Linked DNA regions of Canis lupus familiaris. The protein of the gene in region 4 purifies or fractionates together with the protein of the main gene of each other region. This does not show direct contact. Links are inferred from orthologs where the notes say so. Each region holds a gene or a part of one and is shown on either strand. Other genes may lie near its edges.

Region 1 (5,179 bases), on a different chromosome or scaffold from region 4:
TGGGATTGCCTCCAGGATATACGTGTTGTTTTGTTTTTTTTTTTTGTCCAATACATGTTATTTAGTGGAGGGCATAAAATTTCTCTTACATTTTTAAGAAGATTAATCAAAACCCTTAGCCTAAAAAATAGAAAAGCAGTGTAGGAGAAAATTGGTTTCTGGTTTCTTTTCCTCCCACAACCAACACAGTATTCTTTTGAGCTCCACGTTCCCCTCATTGCATCTCAGGGTGTTAAGAGTGTGAATCACATGGCTGAGTGTCGGCCTGTGCCCGGTGAGCGCATCCCATCCTTGCCCTTTCACGTGCACGGCGGGCCGCAGGCAGGGGCTGCCACTGGGCTGAGGGCCTGGCCTCCCCTGCCACCCGGCGGTAACCGCCCCTTGCCGGCTTCTGTGGCGCCCTGCAGTATCACGAAGCCCTGCGGCTTTGCCTGGAGCAGAACATGACCATCACCGAGGAGATGGCCGAAAAGATGACCGTGTCCAAGGACTCCAAGGACCTGTCTGAAGAGTCCCGGCGCCAGCTGCTGGAGCAGATTGCGAACTGCTGCATGCGCCAAGGCAACTACCACCTGGCGACCAAGAAGTACACGCAGGCAGGGAACAAGCTGAAGGTGAGCGCTGGCCCGGGCGGCCCGTCACGTCAACCAGCGTGTGGCTTCCACCGCCAGTTGGGAGCGGTGTCCCCACGGTTGGGTTTCCATCTGACCTGAGTGCAGCTCTTGGGCATGAGTTTCCCCAGCCAGGGCTTCCCAGGACACGGTGCACGGAGGAGCCCTGAGCTCCCTCTTGTAAAATCCTGTGTGATCCTTGGGGGAGGGCTGGGGGACCTTCACCACAGGCTCTGAGCCCAGCCCCCTCTTCCTCTTCCTCATCTAGGCCATGAGAGCACTGCTGAAGTCTGGGGACACGGAGAAAATCGTGTTCTTTGCAGGCGTCTCGAGGCAAAAGGAAATCTACATCATGGCTGCCAACTACCTGCAGTCCCTGGACTGGCAGAAGGAGCCGGAGATCATGAAGAACATCATCAGCTTCTACACCAAGGGGCGCGCCCTAGACCTTCTGGCCGGCTTCTACGATGCCTGTGCCCAGGTACAGAGCCTCCTCCCAGAGCCAGGACCCCCGGGAGGGTTGTGGAGCCCTGTGGGCCCTGACCGGCCTTCTCCATGTAGGTGGAGATCGATGAGTACCAGAACTACGACAAAGCCCACGGGGCGCTGACCGAGGCCCACAAGTGCCTCTCCAAGGCCAAGGCTCAGAGCCCCCTGGATCAGGAGACCAAGCTGGCCCAGCTGCAGAGCAAGATGACGCTGGTGAAGAGGTTCATCCAGGCCCGAAGGTGTGTTCACAGCAGAGCGAGGAAGCGGGGATACAGAGTGGGCTACACCTCGGGCCCCGTGGAGCCCCCAGACCCCTCCGCCTGCCGGGGACCAGACTGGTTTCACTTCTAGTGAGCGTTTCCGCAGAGGAGCCCCGTGGACCCTAAGTAGGACACACGGACATGATGTTGCCTCCTTTGTGCTGAGCTCCTCCTGGGGAATCCCCCAAACCTGGGCACACTGCCAGGAAGACCGTTCCAGAAAGCGAAGTCTGGGGTGGGAGCGGTGAGGCAGATGCAGGTCAAGAGAGTGGATGTCTGAGGGGAGCCCGGGACCTGCTCAGGTGTGAGCGGGACTCCAGCTCAGTGGTTTCAAGCAGGTGGGCCACTATGCCACCTGGGGCCACAGGAAGGAGGAGGCTGGGGGCAGCACGGTGTTGCTATTTCAGGAGAGACCATGCATCTAAATTTGGACATGAGGCCAGTTTTTATCTATTGGCAACTCATTCAGCTTTTCCAATAGCCCGCTGTGTGGGCAGCAGAGCTCAGCTTCTGCCTAAACCAATGAAAGCATTTTCCTTATCTGGGAACAAGCTTTTGGAAGAAAAGATCCAAAACTATATTGAACTCTGTTGTATAAAGTGGGGCTCCCTGCTTGGAGGTTTAAGTCCTGGAAAATCTGCTGAGCTGGGCTGCAGGAGGGCTGGCGGGGGAGGGGGCCGATGGGCGGCAAGGACTGTTCACCCTGTGCCTGACCACCTCGGGCAGGGTGCCCCATGTCCCCCCTGCCTCACAGTGTCCCCCACCAGACTGGTAACCAGGCGGGGCCTGGGGTGACAAGCTGAGTCTAGCGCGGTACAAGGACTATGATTTATTAGTAAGTTTTTATTAAATGAATCAGTGAGTTTATGAATGAACTCATTAATGAATTCATTGCATTCTCGGGAATTGACTTTACAAAAGTTTGGTCCCGCCAACCCGAGCTGCTCATTTGGGCCACAAGGCCACTCTGAGCCTTGATGCACAGCAGTGTTCTGGGTTTGGGCTTCACCGACTCTGCTCTCGGCAGGATGTACCCCGAGGACCCCAAGGAGGCGGTGAAGCAGTGTGAGCTGCTCCTGGAGGAGCCAGAGCTGGAAGGCACCATCCGCATGGGGGACGTCTATGGCTTCCTGGTGCAGCACTACCTGCAGGGGGAGGAGTTCCACATGGTGAGGCTGCAGCCTCTGGCTGCCTGAGGGCTTCAGGGTGCTCCAGGGTGACTGTGGGAAGGCTGCACCCACGGCCGTCCCCACTCTCTGAGCCCAAGGGAGCTGGGAGCTCTTGGTGAGGAGGCGCTTCTCCTGTTCCTGTTGGACTTTGAAATCATTTCAAACTGAGAAGTTTCAAGAATAATAGAACCCAGATATACCCTTTACTAGATTCGGCACTTTTTAACATTTTGCCACACTTATTCTATATGTATGCTTTCATATTTCTATTTTATATATAAAATGGGTATTTTTTCTGAGCGATATGTGAGTTGCAGCCATCTTGCCTTCCCCCTTAGTTCACTAACACTTGGTTGGACACCCAGGGCTGGGACAGCGGGGTCATACGGCTAGTGTGTTTCACGTTTTCTGAAACTGACAGACTTTTCTCTAGTTTCTCTCTTGTAGAGTCTCCTTCGTTGTTGGTGTCAAGGTTATTATAGCCTTATGGTGTGTGCTTGGGAGCGTGCCTGCCTCCTGTATTCTCTGAGTTTAGCTAAGATTGTTCTTATTTCTTTCTTCAGTTTTTTTTTTTTTTTTTTTTTTTATTTATTTATTTATTTATGATAGTCACAGAGAGAGAGAGAGAGGCAGAGACACAGGCAGAGGGAGAAGCAGGCTCCATGCACCGGGAGCCCGATGTGGGATTCGATCCCGGATCTCCAGGATCGCGCCCTGGGCCAAAGGCAGGCGCCAAACCGCTGCGCCACCCAGGGATCCCTCTTTCTTCAGTTTTGATAGAATGCATGAGTGAGCTGACCTGGGCCTGGAGCTTTCTTCGTAGAAGGATTTCTTTTTTCTTTTTCTTTTTTTTTTTAAGATTTTTATTTATTTATTCATGAGAGATACACAGAGAGAGAGAGAGAGGCAGAGACACAGGCAGAGAGAGAAGCAGGCTCCATGCAGGGAGCCCGACATGGGACTCGATCCCGGGTCTCCAGGATCACGCCCTGGACTGAAGTCGGCGCTAAACCGTTGAGCCACCCGGGTTGTCCCTTTTAAAGGATTTCGATGATTCATTTCAGCACAGCGGTGCCCAAACATTTTGGTCTCAGGACCCCTTTGCACTGGGACACCGAGTAGGAAAAGTAGCACTGTTTTGCACGTTTCCAGGTCTCTGTAATGTCTTAGAGGACAGCTGGAGGGACTCTCCATTTCTGCTTCTGCTCTCAATTTGGTCAAATGGTTTTTTTTAGCTGAAATACATGAAGAAAATCTAGCCTCACACCAGTATGCAGGTGAGAGAGGCCGGGCCCTCAGATAGTCGCAGGCCACTTTTGAGCCTACACCAAAACTCAGCCAGTGGGGCCTCTTAACAGCTGCCAAGTCGGGATGTTGTTGTAATACTCCTACGTTACAGCTCGCTGGTCCATCTTGAATCTTTTACACACACATCATTTTATAACAGCAAGTTGTTCATCTGGAAAATATGGCTTCACCAAATTAGCAAATGTTAACATGTTTCATTATAGAAATCAAAAAATCCTGTTTGCTGGTATCACCATCAACCTCATCAGAAAAGTCTTTAGGTTTTGGGAGGATGTCCAGCTCTTGGTGGCTGATACCTAAGGTTTCTGAAATTCTTCTTGTGAAAGCTCCCATTCTATCCTGAGTGAAAACACGGCCCATTACTATTTTCCTTGAAGTGGTGGCCGCCTTTGTTCATTTCTGAGAAAACATCTGCCACAAACCCAGGCCTGAGTAAAACCACCTGAACTTCAGTCACGTTTCCAAAGATGGTGTCCCGCGCGGAAGGGACGAGTTGAGCTCACACTGCACTGATGTGCTCCCTCATCTCTGCCCACACTTGGTATGATGGGCCTTTAATGCCCACGGTCCCAGTGGGTGCAGAGCGAAGTCTCTATGTGGCTTGAGTGTACCCTCTCCAGACTAGCAGCGTTGAGCCCCTTGTCATATGCTTATCTCCTCCTCTGAGTGTCCGAATCATCCCCCATTGTTTTGTGCAGGGTTTGTCTTCTTCCGTTGCTTGTGGCCCTTGTGAATTCGAGGTACTTTTCCGTGACTGGCAGATGCCCTGCCAGTGTTTTCTGTCCATCTGTGGGAAGTCCTCTTCTTTCTCTGTGTCCTCTCCCTATGGAACTCCAATTATCTGTGTAGATTGTGTCTTGGCTCAAATGATTCTCTTCTCTTTTCATTTTCCAGAATTTTTTCTGATTTTTATATTTGGCCCTTGCTTTTGCTTCAAGTTCATGAGTCTTGGACAGTATCCACTCTGATGCTGCTCCTGTCCCTACCTTTCACCAGGCATTAAAACTTGCCCTTCTAGTACGCTCTGGATCGTGTCCAGTTAGTCTCTATGATTTGTCTTGTCTTTCGAGTGTAAGTCGTGGTTTTTCTTGCTTCTTGCATCCAGCAATTCTTTTATGTCCCAGACACTGTGGACAAACCAGTGTTGAGACTCTGCATTCTGTTATGTTCCTGCAAAGAGGATATTCATTCGTTTGTTCCTTCCTTCCTTCCTTCCTTCCTTCCTTCCCCTCCACTCAACTTAGAGACCTAGTTCTCCCCCGTGGCAGCCAATGGCAGGACTCGCTGCTCAGTACATTAGCTTGGGTGGGACTTGAAGTCAGCCCCCATCACTCTTAATTTT
Region 2 (5,179 bases), on a different chromosome or scaffold from region 4:
CAGACTGTATTCATTAATTCCCAGTTGCTGTGTTCTATCTTCAAAGAGCTCATAGTCTCAGGTAAAATCTACTCTACTCCAAAGAAAAAGAATATAAGAAAATGGAAAATAATAATTTAATGTAATCATTTGCACCTCTATCCTATTTTTTGGTGGAGGGAGGGTGTTACTGTGGGCTCTCTGGTTTTTATTTTAATTACGGTAGAACATGACGCTGGAAGAAAGAGCAAGTTTTAGTGAATAGAAGGAATTGGAAATATAGAAGGATATGCAAGTTAAATGTCTTATTCCTCACTCTAGAAATTCTAATTTACTTTCAACCAATTTGAGGCAATTTAATACTTGGTAATGAACAATGTATTTTGTTTTGCTACCAGGTCTAAGCTGATGATTTTAAGAGCATAGAAATGAGATGATGATTGATATCGTTATTATAACCTCTAATTTATTAAGTGTTTATGATGCACTGGGCATGTGCTTAGTGCTTTGTGTCTATATAATCTTCTACAATCCTAATCACAACCTTGTAAGATAGGATTTCTTATCTCTGCTTTAGAGATGAGTAGCTGGGGCTTGAGGAGTGACATACCTGCCCCAAATCATGCTAAGTGGCAGAACCCGAGTCAAACCCCTATCTGTTTGATTCCACAGTCCCTTTCTTAATTATTGCCATTCTCCTGCTTCCCTGTTGTCCAAGTCCAGTAGGGTATGGGAAGGATACACAAGTGTGACAGTGTTCATGTCACTGGAGCCACAGGGGTTTAAAACACCAACATCCAAAAAGGAATAGGAAGAAAGCAGCTGTGGTAAAGAATGGGAAGAGTGGGTAGTCAGCATCCTGTGTCTCCTGAAGTTGGAAAGACCCTTCCTCACTAATTCGGATGAAGCTTTTTTGAAAAAGCCACTGGAGGGATCCCTGGGTGGCGCAGCGGTTTGGCGCCTGCCTTTGGCCCAGGGCGCGATCCTGGAGACCCGGGATCGAATCCCACATCAGGCTCCCGGTGCATGGAGCCTGCTTCTCCCTGTGCCTATGTCTCTGCCTCTCTCTCTCTCTCTCTGTGACTATCATAAATAAATAAAAATTAAAAAAAAAAAAAAAAGAAAAAAAAAAGCCACTGGAGGTTTTAGGGATAAGATTGCACATAGTTGCAGTAGTCCCCTCCCATCCACCCGGTCCAATTTTTTGCCTTCTGCAGTTTCAGTCACCTACAGTCACTGCTGTCTGGAAGCAGATGGTCCTCCTTCTGACATAGGTTGGGCAGGTCAATAGTAGCCAAATGCCCCCTCTCTTCATCTTATCACATAGGCATTTTACCATCTCACAGCAGCATGAGAAGAAGGGGAGTATGGTACAGTGAGATATTTTGAGAGAGAAAGACTGCATTCATACAACTTTCATTATAGTATATTGTTAGAATTGTCCTATTAGTGTTGTTGCTAATCTCTTGCTATGCCTTATTTATAATTTAAACTTTGCCCCAGGTATGTGCAGAAAAAAACATAGTTTGTATAGTGTTCAGTACTATCTGTGGTTTTAGGCATCCCCAAGGGTCTTGGGACACAGCCTCTGGTGGGTAAGGGGGTCTAGTATATATGGAGAATCCAGCTAAGTGAATTTTGAAAAGCTGTATAGTAGGGAAACCCTGATAGTGAATTCTGAGAAGCATTATAAGGATTAAAAAAAGAATTGAAGTTCCAAAGATTGGTCTTCTCCAAGAAAACACCTAGTGGCAGATGACACTGGTGCCAGAGGAAGCACTGGGATGGGAGGCCACATGGCTTCAGCCGTCAAGGCCAAGGAGCTCATGACAGCAAGACTAAGAATGAGGAGTGGGTGCCTCTCTCCAATTTGGGTTGTCTTGTCAAGGACATAAAGTTCAGGTCCCCAGAGGAGATCTATCTTTTCCATCTGCCCATCAGGGAATCTGTGATCTTTGAGGTATTCCTGGGATCGTTCTTCCAGGATGAGGTTTTGAAGATCATACCTGTGCAAAAGCAGACCCATGCTGGCAGGCAGACTGGGTTCAAGGCATTTGTTGCCATTGGGAATTACAACAGACACATGCGTCTGGGTGTTAATGCTCCAACGAGGTAGCCACTGACTTCTGCAAGACCATCATTCTGGCCAAGATCTCTAGTCCCAGTGCAGCAAGGTCTCTGGGAGAACAAGACTGGAAAGCTCCACATCATCACTTGTGAGGTGACTGGACACTGCAGCTCTGTGCTGGTGCACCACATCCCCACCCCCAGGGGCACTGGTATCATGTGGGCTGCTACACGTGGGCCAGGGGCTGCAGAGCCACCCTGGGCAACTTCGCCAAGGCCACTTTTGATGCCATCTACAAGACCTACAGCTGTCTCATCTCAACTCTGGGAAGAGACTCTTTTCACCAAGGCCCCCTATCAGGCATTCACTGACCATCTTGTAATGACCCACACCAGATGCTGTTGCCATCATGAAGTTTATATACAAGAAAAATTAAGGTGAATTAAGCCTGTTAAAAAACAAAAGATCAAAAGATTGACTGCTTGGTACATGATAGGCACTTGCTAAACATTTGCCAAGTAAATAGGTAGGACGGACTGTGGTGGTTCTCTTGACATTTTTGACTGGCATTTTTTCTTTTTTCCAGATATTTCTTCTTGCGGGTAGAAAGCGGAAAAAGAGCAAAACTTCTAACTACCTTATTTCCACTGATCCAACAGATTTATCTCGTGAAGGGGAAAGTTATATTGGCAAGCTCAGGTGAGAGCAGCCTTGTATCACTGACCTATTCTTTCTGATACTTTTATTCCTGTAGTTTCAGAGCAATCTGTATTTTTTTTTACTCTGAGCATGTATGATGTTGTAATCTTTAAAAAAAAAAAAAAGTTCACAGAGCATCTACGTCCCTTCCTTATGTTAATGAGAGATCTTTGAAACAGTGGCGATGAATATTTGGAAAATGGCAGAAGGGCTTCCATTCTGTTCCATACCTGTCCTAGATTTATATTTGTGTAGGAGAAAAAATATAGATCATTAATGGCAACTTTGTCCTCTCGATTCTAGATCCAACCTCATGGGGACCAAGTTTACAGTTTATGACCATGGTGTCAGCCCAACCAAGGCCCAAGGCCTGGTAGAAAAGGCCTATGTCCGGCAGGAGTTGGCAGCCATCTGTTACGTATGTGCCATTCTCGTAAAGCACTCTTTTTCTGAGTCTTTTCCCTAATCTCCTGGGTGTCCTGCTGGCACTTGAAACTTACCCAACACTGAGCTCATGATCTTCCTTCCGAAGCTTGTTTCTATTTCTATAATCCTCCTCTTCTGTTGCTGGTTGCATTTTTCTCTGTATATTCAAGTTTTAATTATTTATGAATTGCCAAGTTTGGTTATTTTTTATTTTTTTCTTTAAAAATTTTTCTTATATTCAAATTCAATTAATTAACATATAGTGTATCATTAGTTTCAGTGGTAGAGTTCTATTATTCATCAGTTGCATACAACACCCATTTCACCACCACGTCCTCCTTTATGCCCATCACCCAGCTACCCCATCCCCCCAACCCCTTCGCCTCCAGCAATCCTTAGTTTACTTCCTAGAGTTCAGAGTCTCTTACGGTTTGTCTCCTTCTCTGATTTCGCATTTCTTCTCTTACCTGCTCTTTCGTTTTCCTAAAACACAGCTTCAGTAGATCCTGTAGTTTTCCTGTTTCAAATCTTCTAACGACTACCCATTGCATCCAGAATAAAGCCCTAATGTGTTAGCCTTTCCTCCCAGACTCCTCTAGTGGTCCTGGCCCCCTCCTGTTCCCCTGTTCTAGCCATGACAGCCCCCTGTCATTCCTTTGCTGCACCATGTGATCTTTCTTCATCCAAGAGCCTTCCTTTCCCTTTCCTTGTCCTTTATCTAATCAGTTGATGCCATTGGAGAAGTCTTTCCTGACCATTGATAGAGTCTACCTTATGTACACATCCCCATGGCACCCTGTGCTTCTTCTTGTAACTAACACATTATACTTATTACTGCTTGTTCAACATGAACCTTCTCTACCAATTTGCAAACTCTTATTCTCTGCTACATCCTCACTAGCAGAGGGACCAGTGCAGGTAGGCACTCAAAGTGTTGTTGAGTAAAAGAAAGCAAGAATCAAATAACCTGACTTAGCTGTTGCTTTGATTCCAAAGTCTTAACTTTTGCTTAATTTAGAATTAATCTCATCATTTCCCATGAGGTTTTATCTATGTGATTGAGAAGCATTTGACTTAGTATTTTGTAACATAGTATATTTTTTTCTCCCACCTTCAGAATCCATTACATATTTCAATTACGTATAACTTTCATATGTATGTACATATGTATGTGTATGTATGTATAGGTGTACAAACACAAACGTATATACCTACCTATTTGCTGTGTTATTTTATTCATATATAGTCTTCCTGGCCTGACAGGTGTTTAAGGTTTTTTTTTAAGGTTTGTTTCCTTTTTTTTTTTTTTTTCAGATTTTATTTATTCATGAGAGATAGAGACAGAAGCAGAGCCAAAGGCAGACACTGAAGTACTGAGCCACCCAGGCATCCCATGTTTCTTTTTTTTAAGATTTTATTTATTAATGAGAGACACAGAGCGAGAGAGAGAGAGCGTGGCAGAGACACAGGCAGAAGGAGAAGCAGGCTCCGGGCAGGGAGCCTGACATGGGACTTGATCCTAGGTCTCCAGGATCAGGCCCTGGGCTGAATGTGGCGCTAAACTACTGGTCCACCCGGGCTGGCCATTTTTTTTTTCTTTTTAATTAAGGTATAATTGACATATTAGTTTCAGATGTACAATGTAATGACTTTTTTTTTTTTTTTTTAGTTTTTAAAAACTACTTATTTTTAAAGATCTTATTTATTTATTTGAGAGAGTGAGAGCGAGCGAGCATGAGAGGGGACGAGGGGCAGAGGGAGAAGCAGACTTTCTCTGAGCAGGGAGCCCAATGTGGACTCAATCCCAGGATCTCGAGACCGTGACCTGAGCCATAAGCAGATGCTTAACCAAGTGAGCCACCTAGGCGCCCCAAGATTTATTTATTTATTTGAGAGAGAGTGCATGTGCACACGTGAGTGGTGGGAGCAGTAGAGGGAGAGAATTCCCCAAGTAGACTCTGCCCTTACTGCAGAGCCCAATGTGAGGCTGGATCTCAGGACCCATGA
Region 3 (5,179 bases), on a different chromosome or scaffold from region 4:
TCTTAAAGAGTCTCAATCTCATTTCCTGAAACAACAGGAACAATCAGGACCATAATCGCTATCATGATGTGCCTAGAGCTTCAGAACAGTCAGAAGTCAAACATAATACATACAAGTCTCCCTGTCTCAGCAATGCCTGGTTTAGACAACTGTCTATATTTATCACACAAGTAAGGAGATAATATTCAAGGAGCCCATAGATGCCATTTATAGATAATAACTGTTTTTCCTTTGGTTTGAAGCTTAAATATGTTAAGCACAGAAGAAGAATCTCAAATCTGCAGGAGTTCTGACTCATTGTTTACACTTACCCAGGGGAGTTGGAGGCCCATTACGATGCCAAGGTATAGTGACAGCCCTGGACTTCCAGCCCCAAGGCACACAGGGAGTTTATGAGAGAAGGGGGTAAAGAAAGGTGGAGAAAAAGGAACCATGTGTGTGATGCAGGATAAACCACATTCTTCGGAAATGGAAAAAACCTAAATGTGTTAGTCCTATGGTGATTTGTAGTGTTAAGACAGAAATGTCATCTGTCAAGTTAAACATTAATAATTCTAACGTTGCTTTTATCTCTATTTCCTTTTTTTCTTTAGCTTTTTATTTTCTCCAATTATCTGAATGGCTAAGATATTAGAAGATGCTTTCACCTGTTTGTCTGAAAGACTGAAATAAAAATTTTCTAATAAATTCTATCATCATTTCTTATGGTCATCTTGTGAATTTTTAAAACCAAATAACACAAGGGTGTCTGGGGGGATTCAGTCCATTGAGTGCCAGCTCTTGATTAGACCTCAGGTCTTGATCTCAGGGTCATGAGTTCAAGCCTCACACTGGACTCCACGCTGAGCGTGGAGCCAACTTAAAAAATAAATAAATAAATAAATAATAAACAAAAAGAAATTTTAAAAAACCCCAAATAACACAAAGGGACAAATATTTTGTGACTCCACTTATATGATGTACAATGAATAGTCAAATTTATAGAGACAAAGTAGAATAGTGGCTACTAGGGGTTGGTGGACAGGGAAGTGGGGAGGTGCTGTTTAATGAATACAGGGTTTTAGTTCAGGATGATGAAAAAGTTCTGGAGATGAGTGATGGTGATGGTTGTACAATAATGTGAATGTACGTAATATGACTGAACTGTACATGTAAAAATGGTTAAAATGGCACATTTATGTTATATACTTTTTCTACAATAAAAACAAAACAAAACACTACCACAAATAACATTATGTATGGCCCATAAAATGAGAATCTGAAAATTATTTCAGTAGTTTCTAAGAATAATTGCAAGCAAGGGAAGAAAACCTATTAGCATGTGTTCTCAGACTATAAAATTCTCTTTTGGACTTTCTTTTGGAAAACCACATCTTGTGTATATCACTCTTCATCAAAGAATAACCATATAATCTTAATTTGTAAGTCACTTTTAAAAATTCATGAAAATATTTCTTAGACAATTCTTTTGTGTTTTCTATCACCTTCATTTTGGAACTTTGTTTTACTACTGGTTGACAAACAGAATTTGGGAAATCTGGCCTCTTTTAGAGGTTACCCAAAAACCTTAATTTTTGAAAATGGTCTTATAATTCCATTTCACCTTTAAGACGGTAGGAATCTTGAAATCTAACAAGTAACATATAGATATGCATGTATCTACGTATAAATGGTGTGTGTGCGTGTGCTTATGGGCATGCCAATCTGATAATTAGATTCTAAGGGTCAAGTATTTCTAGGTCACAAATCTTTAGGAGAAATTTGGGAAAACAATGGTATTTACCAATAATGTCTGCATAGATTTCCATTTTGTTGTGCTGCTGAGCCAGTGTGAAAGCTTCATTATTACATTTAGACATAACGAGAAACTGGATGGCAGACCCGTAGTCACCCAACTGTAGGAAAAACCTAAAACAAAGTACTTTAATCACCTTGATTCATGTAAAATAAGTTTGTCATTTACAAAATCAAATCTTTTTGCAACTATGAGAAACCACTTAAAAATAAAAATTAGGGATCCCTGGGTGGCGCAGTGGTTTGGCGCCTGCCTTTGGCCCAGGGCGCGATCCTGGAGACCCGGGATCGAGTCCCACGTCGGGCTCCCTACATGGAGCCTGCTTCTCCCTCTGCCTGTGTCTCTGCCTCTCCCTCTCTCTCTGTGTGACTATCATGAATAAATAAATAAAATCTTAAAAAAAATAAATTAAAAAAATAAAAAATAAAAAAATAAAAATTAATCAAACTGCAGTTCTACACACTACATATGCTTATATTTGAAAAATGAACTCTTACACTCTACCAGAAACAGACTGAATTTAAACACTTAGACCTACCAAAAAAATGAAAAGGAATAAATATTCCCTTTGAATGTATTTATTTGATGAAGGGAAGGGGCACTTTCTTTTAAGGCTAGTTTTTGGAAGTCCAAAAATAATGCATTCTGTTACCTGGCTACCATTTTGGCGCCATCCAAAGACTGGGTCTCTCTGACAATACTGACAGCCTTTTCGGGATTGTTGAGGTGATCCAGATAGATGCGGATTACGCTGTTCCATTGTTTTGCATTCTCATAAGCCACAACAGCTTCTTTGTATCTATAAGAAATATTTGGTTCAGAAAAGCTTTCTTAACACTGCCACATTTGGGGGGAAAGTGTCAATAAATTGGACAGTTTTTTTTACTGATGGTGGTTGCTTATTTTTCTTGAAATATATATAAATGAAATATATATAAATATATAAAATGTGTTCTTTTTAGAGGTCTGATAAACTAACAGTAAAGTGTTAATATCAAATTGCTTTTTCTCGTCTAAACCGTATCATTTTTTACACTTTGCTTTTTTTCCTCACTGTGCTGTTGTTTTTTGAGTAGGAATGGAAATTTATTTTAAAGAAAATACAGACTATTTCACATTTATGGATACAGCTGAGGGTGACAGAGAAAATCTTTGCACGTTGACCTCTAGATGGAGCTCAAGACTTCTCTTCCAGACGAGCTCTCCAGCTCTTTCCCTTTTAACAAGATACTTAGTGTTATATCTGTTTCCTAAGGTTGCTTTTCTAAAAGTAGATGGTACTGACCTTTAAAAATCTTTTAATGTCTATTGCCAAATAATTTTCCAAAGGCTATAGAAATTATACTCCCATCAATCATGCATACAGAGTACTTTTTTTTTTTTCAGAGTATGTTTTGATGATTTGGTGATTAGTTTAAAATCTTCCATGATATTATAGGTTAAAAAATAACATACTGTCACTTTAGCTATTATTAGTGAGGTAGAACTTTTGTTGTTTGTATGAAAAGCAATTTCATAATTGTGTTTTCTACTCTGGGATTCCTTGACTTTGAATTTCTTATATCAAGTTGCAGGGAATCTTTGTATATTTAGGATATTAACTCTCCACTGCAATATCTTGACATTGTTTTGCAGCTCATACTGTGCAGTCATAGGTATGGAGTTCATATTTCTTCACTGCTCTTGTCTTCTGCATCTGTAAGTTATTCCTCTTAATAAAATGAGGATCACTTTGTTTTAATGCCATATTATATCAAAATATCAACTTTTAGTATTTAACTCTCAAAAGAGACAGTAGCCTCTATATCTGAACACACAAAGGATCAATTGAGGGATATAAGATATGGGAGAAACTGAACAGTCTGGCACTTCAGGCCTGGCAAAGGGTAAAGATGTTTTCTTCCTCCACTCTGCCTTTCGTAGAGGTACAAAGGTGGATGGTTAATTTATCAAACTTACACAGTGCTTTCAATTTGTATGAATTTGAGACAACGTACAAACCTTCCATCTGCTTCTTTTGCTTTGGCATACTGCAGGTGAATCTTTGGGGAAGCAACACGAGGCAGAAGCTCACCAACTTTTGCCCTAAAATGTAGGTTTAGGACAATAATGTCAGCACTATATTCACTCCCAAAGTAGCTCCTTACAATCAGATGTTTTTAGGATTCAAAACACAGTTCTCATGATCTTTAAAAAAAAAAATCTTGCTTCCTACGGATAAAAGCAGACATAACTGCTTTTCCTTATGACACCCACCCCTGTCCTCCTTCTCTGTGAGAAAATGAAGGTTAGTTCATTAGCTCTTCGAGGACAATAGGGCTATTTTCCCCAGTAATGTGTCTGATCAGGGATGTCCCCACACCAAACTGACAGGATGTACTGTTTTGTTTTGTTTTTTTTGGAAAGCAAACTATGAACTCCTCTAAGAAGAAGGAGAAAAAGAGAAGAGGGAACAGGATGTACAGGCAGGAGGGCAGACCACCAGGACCCATTCATTTCCACACCTGCTCAGAACAAACTGTAGCAAATTCTTACCAATTCTTACAGCGGATGTAAACAGAGGCTGCTTTGTCAAAATAGAGACCTTTTTCATACAGTTGGGCTGCTTCTGAAAATTGCTAAAGTAATATGAGATTATTAAAACACTGAATTTGTTACATATAAGATCGCAGGAATATTTATTCAGAGAAAAGTATACCTTCATATTCTCCAAGATAGCTCCACAGTCTCTTTTCAGGACCCTGCTGGGATGCTTCAGGGCCTGGTTAACTCCTCGGCGTATGTCTCCCATTCGTATGGACATCTGGGCCACTCCAGCCAGACACAGTTCATCATGTTCCTGGAATTATCAGGCAAATAACTAACAAATCAGACCCTGAGTTATACTAATGTATTTCAGCCAAACAATTACTTTCTCAAATGAGCCCAAATGTTACTTCCATTAATCCTTTCAGGCAAATCTCTCAAGATTATGAAATAACACTGAATTCTTTTTTTTTTTTTTCCTAAATCACCTGTTACAAAGTTATATATATATTCAGAAGTCTACATCTTTTCAAATACCATATAATTTCACTCATGTGGAATTTAAGAAACAAAACTGATGAACATAGGGGAAGGGAAGGAAAAATAAGATAAAAGCAGAGGGGGAGGTAAACCATAAAGACTCAACTCTAGGACAAACTGATGGTTCAGGAGGGGAGGTGGATGAGGTAACTGATGACAGGCATTAAGGAGGGCACTTGATATAATGAACACTTGGTGTTATATAGAACTGGATTCACTAAATTCTTCCTCTGAAACTAATAATACACTATATATTAACTAACATGAATTTATATAAAATAAAAAAAACTGAGGGTCACTGGAGGCAAGGGGGGTGGA
Region 4 (5,690 bases):
ACTGTGTGCCAGGCACCGTTCTGGGCTCTGCGGATGCAGCAGTGAGTAAAACAAAATCCTTGCCCTTAAGAGAGTTTATGTGGCCAGGGGGAGAAAGGGTAGGGAAATGGCAATAAACCAAATAATTAAGTATTGTGATAAAAGGTAAGTGCACCGTGGAATATAAAGCAGGGAAGTAGAATAGGGAGTGCCCCAGTTGGGACTGTTGAAACTTAAAATAGGGTGTCAGAGGAGACTTTACTGAGGCCTTTAAGCAAACGCTTGCAAGACAGGAGGAAAATTGTTGAAGTTGTATCCTTCCCCACTCCACCTCTACCGAATCAGTTTCCAGGGATGGGGCCCTGGCACATGTATTTTTTAACAAACCTCACAGGTGATTCAGGTGCTCAGCAAGGTCTGGAAGCCACTGCTCTAGGGTTTCTTTCTGCTCAGTGAGTACCATGCACCTTTTGTTTTCCGGAAGTCAGGGAAGAAGTGGGAGTTAAGGTCTGAAAACTGCCAGCAAGGTGGTAGTAGTGTAGCTATGAGCTCACACAAGATGGAAAAATCCAAAGATTAATCCCTTCTTCCTCATCTGGTGCCAAGGAAGAAGAAAACTAAGGATTCATTGGAGCCAGTATTTCATTTATCTTGGGTTTTGGCAATGAACATTTCTTCAGATTAAAATCTAACCGGGTATTCTCAGTGAGAATCCGATCCTAGGGGAAATCCCTAAAAGCAATTACCAGGGAGGAGACTGAGGTCCAGAGAGGGCTTTGCCTGGCCACACAGGTAGTTATCAGCAGCGCCAGGAAGAGACCGTCAACTCTTGGGACATGCAAGCAGTGCTATTGCTGTTGCAAGGCTAGCACATAACCCTACCCAGTAAACATGTGGATGACCAATTAAATTGAGTAATTTAAGGGGTATTTAAGAAGCTTGTAATCCAGCCTTAGGGGCTGCTACTCCCACTTTCAAGTCCTTGCTTTTTAGCAGTGGTTATCTAGACCTCACCCACAGCATGATATTGGGGATATTGCTCACTTTCAGGCCCATGAGATCATCTTCTGGGGGCCCTAGCTGACCAGTACCAGGGACCTGGCCATTGGTGTTGACTTGGGGATCTTACATGGAGAGTCAGTGAAGACTCAACTCGCTTGCCCCATTAGGTTGGCAATTTGAAGGACACCTTCCTCTGCTGACCTAGGAGTATGGCAGGCACCCAGTAATATGTGCGGGAGAAAAATACTCTTATAAGATCTGATATCAAAAAGGCATCAAGCTCTGCTGCTTGGCACTCAGGTGATTTCCCTCAAGCCACCTCTTTGCACCTTACAGTCCTCAATTGCTGGATAGAAGTATCACTGATGCTCACTTTGTGGAGTTGTTGGAGGGATTACTTGACTTTTTTTTTTTAAGATTTTATTTATTTATGATATATATAGAGAGAGAGGCAGAGACACAGGCAGAGGGAGAAGCAGGCTCCATGCCGGGAGCCTGATGTGGGACTCCATCCCAGGTCTCCAGGGTCACGCCCTGGGCCAAAGGCAGGTGTTGAACCGCTGAGCCACCCAGGGATCCCTGGATTACTTGACTTTTGAATGTTATCACTTAGGTATTTGACGTCTTGGTTCAGCCTCTCTGTAAACTTCTTGAAGGCAGAGATGATGTATTTTGCATGTTCCGTTAGAAACTATTTATTTGCCCCTGACCACTCCCCCCTCCTGTGAGCCTGTTTTCTTATCTGTCTGATGGAGATAAGAGACTCACCTTGTTTTTCACATAAGGTTATTATACCCTTCCCGTGAGCTAATAAGTCTTAAAGTCCTTTATTCATAGCGAAAGGCTATATAAATAGAAGGGATCGATTTAATCACTACTGTTACTGGTAGTGCTTTGTTCTTAATTAACACCTATTTAGAAAGAGCTACAAATGCAGACAGTTCCTAAAGGCTAATATATTTCTTTTTCACTGTCCCCTAGGAGCGACCTTAGCGGAATTTAACAGAAGTCAGACAAGGCAGTTTAGGAGAGTTTTGGGTTTAAATTCAAAGGGGGCTGCACAGAATCCAGGAATAATGTCGCGGATCCTTTAAATATGGAGATAAAGGGGGCGGAGCCGTCGCCAGGGACGCGACCGGGCCGCCGGGTTTCCAGGAAATGACGTCAGGCGGCCGCGGAGATGGAGGACCTGCTGGACCTCGGCGGGGAGCGGCGTCGCGGCTCGACCACCTCCGTGAGGACCGCCTTGGGGGCCGGGGGCTAGGATTTGGCGGGTGGGGAGGAGCGCGCTGGCCGCCCGGCTTCCCGGAGGCGCCCCGGCCTGGCGTGGCCGCGGTGGCCGCAGCGGGCGGGCGGGCGCGGGGTGAGGCCCGGGAAGAGGCGGCGGCAGCTGCCCCGCCCCCGGGGCGCGGTGCGCTCGGCCGCCGCGGGCCTGGGGTTTGCTCTCTGCGAACTTCTCTAAAAGCAGCAAGACGGGACCTGCCCCTGCCGGCCTCTGAGCCTCCAGCAGGCTCCGCTCTTAGAGCCCCCGGTGCTAGCACACCTGGAAGGAGCGTCTGCGGGGCTGCCCGGGGGCGCCCCGGCCAGGGTCGCGCTTGCACCCACCCTAGGGCTTCCCCCTGACATTTCTCGTGCCCGAAGTTCATGTCAGAACCGCAGTGTTTTACGCGTGGAAGGCAGGCTGGCAGGCCGGCTGAAGGGCCTCTTGTTGCCCGCAGTTCCCACGGGGTGGGGGTGGGTGGGCGTGACCTTAGGTTTATGATTTATAACGTGGAGTGGTGGCCAGGTGCTGGGGGGCCTGGAGGTCAAATGGAGTGTGAAGCTGCTTACTGGGGTTAAAAAAAAAAAAAAAGTTAACATCGTGTGTCAACTACTCAAGTTTCAAATATTAAACGAACCCTCCCCAACCTCGGTTTCCTTATCTCTAGAATGGAGATGTTATCTACTTCAAAGTGCTTCGGTGAAGGTGAAATGGAGTAGTGTATGGGAGGCATTTAATACAGTGCCTGGCACGTGCTAGGTTCTTAGAAGTTAGCTGCTGTGGCTTCTGAGGCTGTGATTTACCCACTTATGTACATTGTCAGTAGATCATTGATGTAGCTTCAAGACCCAGGCTTAATGTTGTTGAGCTCCATTACCATCCCATCAAGCCTCTTTCTTTCTTTCTTTCTTTCTTTCTTTCTTTCTTTCTTTCTGTCTGTCTGTCTGTCTGTCTTTCTTTCTTTCTTTCTTTCTTTCTTTCTTTCTTTCATTTATTTATCAATGAGACACACACACACACACACACAGAGGCAGAGGGAGGAGCAGGCTCCATGGAGGGAGCCCAATGCAGGATTCGATCCTGGGACTCCAGGATCACACCCCAGGCCAAAGGCAGGCTCTAAACTGCCGAGCCACACGGGGATCCCCAGCATCAAGCCTTTCTTACCTTTAAAAATTTGTCAAGATCACAGTCCCTAGAAGATTGGGGCACACAGCAGGTTTTTACTTTCTGCTATGGAAGCTCTAAGTGCTTTTGAAGGGCCCTGGTAAACATCAGCCGTCTTCCAAGGTCCTGGAGGCAAGAATATAGTGTTCTAGGATAAAGCAGGTTGCTTGACTGACCAGTATCAGGTTACTGGGTCTTTCTGATATGTGAACTTGTTTTAGTCTCTGAGAATGTAGTTATGCATTCATGCTTTCAACAAATACTTACTGAGTTCTCACTGTGTATCAGGCACCGTGTTAGGTGCTGGAGCTATAGCAGTGAAAACAAAACAAAAAAAACCCCACAGGGGTACCTGGCTGGCTCAGTCTGGAGCATGCAACCCTTGATCTCAGGCCTCACGTTGGGTATATAAATCATTTAGAAAAAATAAAGTCTTAAACAGCAACAACAAGCAGCAAAGTCCTTGTCCTCGGAGGGCTTACAATCCAGCGGGGGAAGATGGACAATCAACAGACTCTACATTTACAATAGATGTACATTTAAGTATAGTAAAGTAGTTTTGCTACAGGTCATTCCTGTGGATTTAGGCAGGATCTTCAAAAAGCTTAAAACCTTAAAATACTTAACAGTTATTAGAGAAACCATCTGTAAACTGCATTTAGAGACAAGATCATTGAATTTTTGTTTTGACACAACTACACGTAGTATGCCATGTTCTGATACTAAATGTTCGGATAAAGGGGAAAGAGTGATAGCCAAACGGGCGGAATTATCTGCCTTGGGAAGAAAATGGGTGGCTGCTCAGAAAGATGGTTTCCGTCATCCCTGGAACCCAAATTATTGGTAAGAGTTGGAAAAGTAAGCAGTACATAGGGGTTTTTAGGCAACCCACGTGTAACCCCTCTCAGTGTATTGGTGCAGGCGGTTCTTAGAACATCTGAAAACTGAAACTCCAGCCTGAGATAGTGGAAAGAACTGAGGATCTGAAGGCAGAAGATTTTGCTCTTCAATTTACGTCTGCCACTTACCTGCCTTCTTGGGCCCTGCTTTCCACGTTTGTGAAATGGCCTCAGTCCTAGTCCCTGTGAGAATCCAGGGAAGCCACATCTAATGAGATCTAAAAGGGCTTATATTACTGCAGGTTTTAGAAAAGCCAACATATGAAAATAGAAATATTTCAGTATCCACTAGTCTGCCTAAGTAAAGTTTTCTTTCTGTGCTGGGAAGCATATTTGAGACACTGAGCCTCTACCCCAGGAAGGCTTTGGGAAACACCTGCAGATGGTTCATTTGATGACTCAGAATTTAAAGTGTTCTGATTTCGGAAGCTAATGTCTCAAAATTCTTGTAAGAGATTTCCTTTGCTATTTAGATGCACACGTCCAGTTAGTATATACATCAAAGCAAATGCTGTCTATATTTCTCTAGTACTAGTTGCCATGTATTTTAGGAATTCTTTCCCTGAAAAAGCCTTTTTAATAACAATTTCATGCCAAGCTGCAGCTTTGAAATGAGGCCTTTCTAGAATCCTGCATAGGAACGTGAGAGCCTTTACCACGTTCCCTGAGCTTTGGCATGAGATCTCTGTTCATTCTAAAGGAATGTCTGCGTGCATTTCTTTGGGTAGGAAATATCTATGGCAGTTAAAAGAGAAACGTGTGATCATTAATCCAGGAATTTTGTGTTTTCCTAGCAAATAGAAATGGTGTCAGGTGCTTTGTATTAAGTGTGTGGAGCATTTTTGAAAAATAGATTCAACTTATTCAAATCCCATCCTCCATGTCATCATAAATCCTGTCCTTGCTTACCTTCCCAGAATTCCCATCCTCATAGTGGCTCAAAGATGTTTAGGTCAGCAGTGCTCCTCATCTCTCCTTACAGGGGCCCAGGATGGGTCGCCGAGCTCAACAGGAATCAGCTCAAGTTGAGAATCACCTCAGTGGCAAGAACTCTTCAATTCTGACTGGAGAGGTGAGTATTTAAAAAAAAAAAAAAAAGTTTTCCAAGAGTTAGTAATTACTTAATGAGCAAGGATTTGATATTCCATATTTCTTCTCTATAATGCCAGCCCTTCCTCCCATCTTGATTTGGGAATTCCCTTCCTTGGCGTTTGTCCTATTAGCAAGAAATGAAAGAGGAACGTTTTTCCTTTGATGCCAGAATAGTTTCTGTGCATTGCTTTATGTTCTCAGTGAAGAACATTCTTAGGTTCGCTGAAGCAGGGGACTGGGAAGTTTGAAAATCCAGTGGAAATCCAGGTTTTTATTTCTGCCGAATAGAT

Evidence for each region.
Region 1: the proteins of IFT43 (region 4) and IFT140 purify together in Homo sapiens (affinity purification with mass spectrometry; 3 studies listed by BioGRID and IntAct, counting the BioPlex papers as one, with this or other methods). This does not show direct contact. The link is inferred for Canis lupus familiaris from reciprocal best matches to the Homo sapiens genes IFT43 and IFT140.
Region 2: the proteins of IFT43 (region 4) and TULP3 purify together in Homo sapiens (affinity purification with mass spectrometry; 5 studies listed by BioGRID and IntAct, counting the BioPlex papers as one, with this or other methods). This does not show direct contact. The link is inferred for Canis lupus familiaris from reciprocal best matches to the Homo sapiens genes IFT43 and TULP3.
Region 3: the proteins of IFT43 (region 4) and WDR19 purify together in Homo sapiens (affinity purification with mass spectrometry; 3 studies listed by BioGRID and IntAct, counting the BioPlex papers as one, with this or other methods). This does not show direct contact. The link is inferred for Canis lupus familiaris from reciprocal best matches to the Homo sapiens genes IFT43 and WDR19.

Annotation. Positions count from the first base shown.
Region 1 is NC_049227.1:39,775,428-39,780,606, forward strand, and holds part of IFT140 (intraflagellar transport protein 140 homolog), read left to right. Parts: intron 1-407; coding exon 408-614; intron 615-879; coding exon 880-1,092; intron 1,093-1,172; coding exon 1,173-1,339; intron 1,340-2,387; coding exon 2,388-2,529; intron 2,530-5,179. UniProt on the Homo sapiens protein: Component of the IFT complex A (IFT-A), a complex required for retrograde ciliary transport and entry into cilia of G protein-coupled receptors (GPCRs).
Region 2 is NC_049248.1:4,214,374-4,219,552, forward strand, and holds part of TULP3 (tubby-related protein 3), read left to right. Parts: intron 1-2,633; coding exon 2,634-2,746; intron 2,747-3,049; coding exon 3,050-3,164; intron 3,165-5,179. UniProt on the Homo sapiens protein: Negative regulator of the Shh signaling transduction pathway: recruited to primary cilia via association with the IFT complex A (IFT-A) and is required for recruitment of G protein-coupled receptor GPR161 to cilia, a promoter of PKA-dependent basal repression machinery in Shh signaling.
Region 3 is NC_049224.1:73,740,032-73,745,210, forward strand, and holds part of WDR19 (WD repeat-containing protein 19), read right to left. Parts: intron 4,635-5,179; coding exon 4,494-4,634; intron 4,414-4,493; coding exon 4,331-4,413; intron 3,881-4,330; coding exon 3,797-3,880; intron 2,595-3,796; coding exon 2,448-2,594; intron 1,909-2,447; coding exon 1,784-1,908; intron 1-1,783. UniProt on the Homo sapiens protein: As component of the IFT complex A (IFT-A), a complex required for retrograde ciliary transport and entry into cilia of G protein-coupled receptors (GPCRs), it is involved in cilia function and/or assembly.
Region 4 is NC_049229.1:49,262,507-49,268,196, forward strand, and holds the start of IFT43 (intraflagellar transport protein 43 homolog), read left to right. Parts: upstream 1-2,066; 5' UTR 2,067-2,161; coding exon 2,162-2,215; intron 2,216-5,290; coding exon 5,291-5,380; intron 5,381-5,690. UniProt on the Homo sapiens protein: As a component of IFT complex A (IFT-A), a complex required for retrograde ciliary transport and entry into cilia of G protein-coupled receptors (GPCRs), it is involved in ciliogenesis.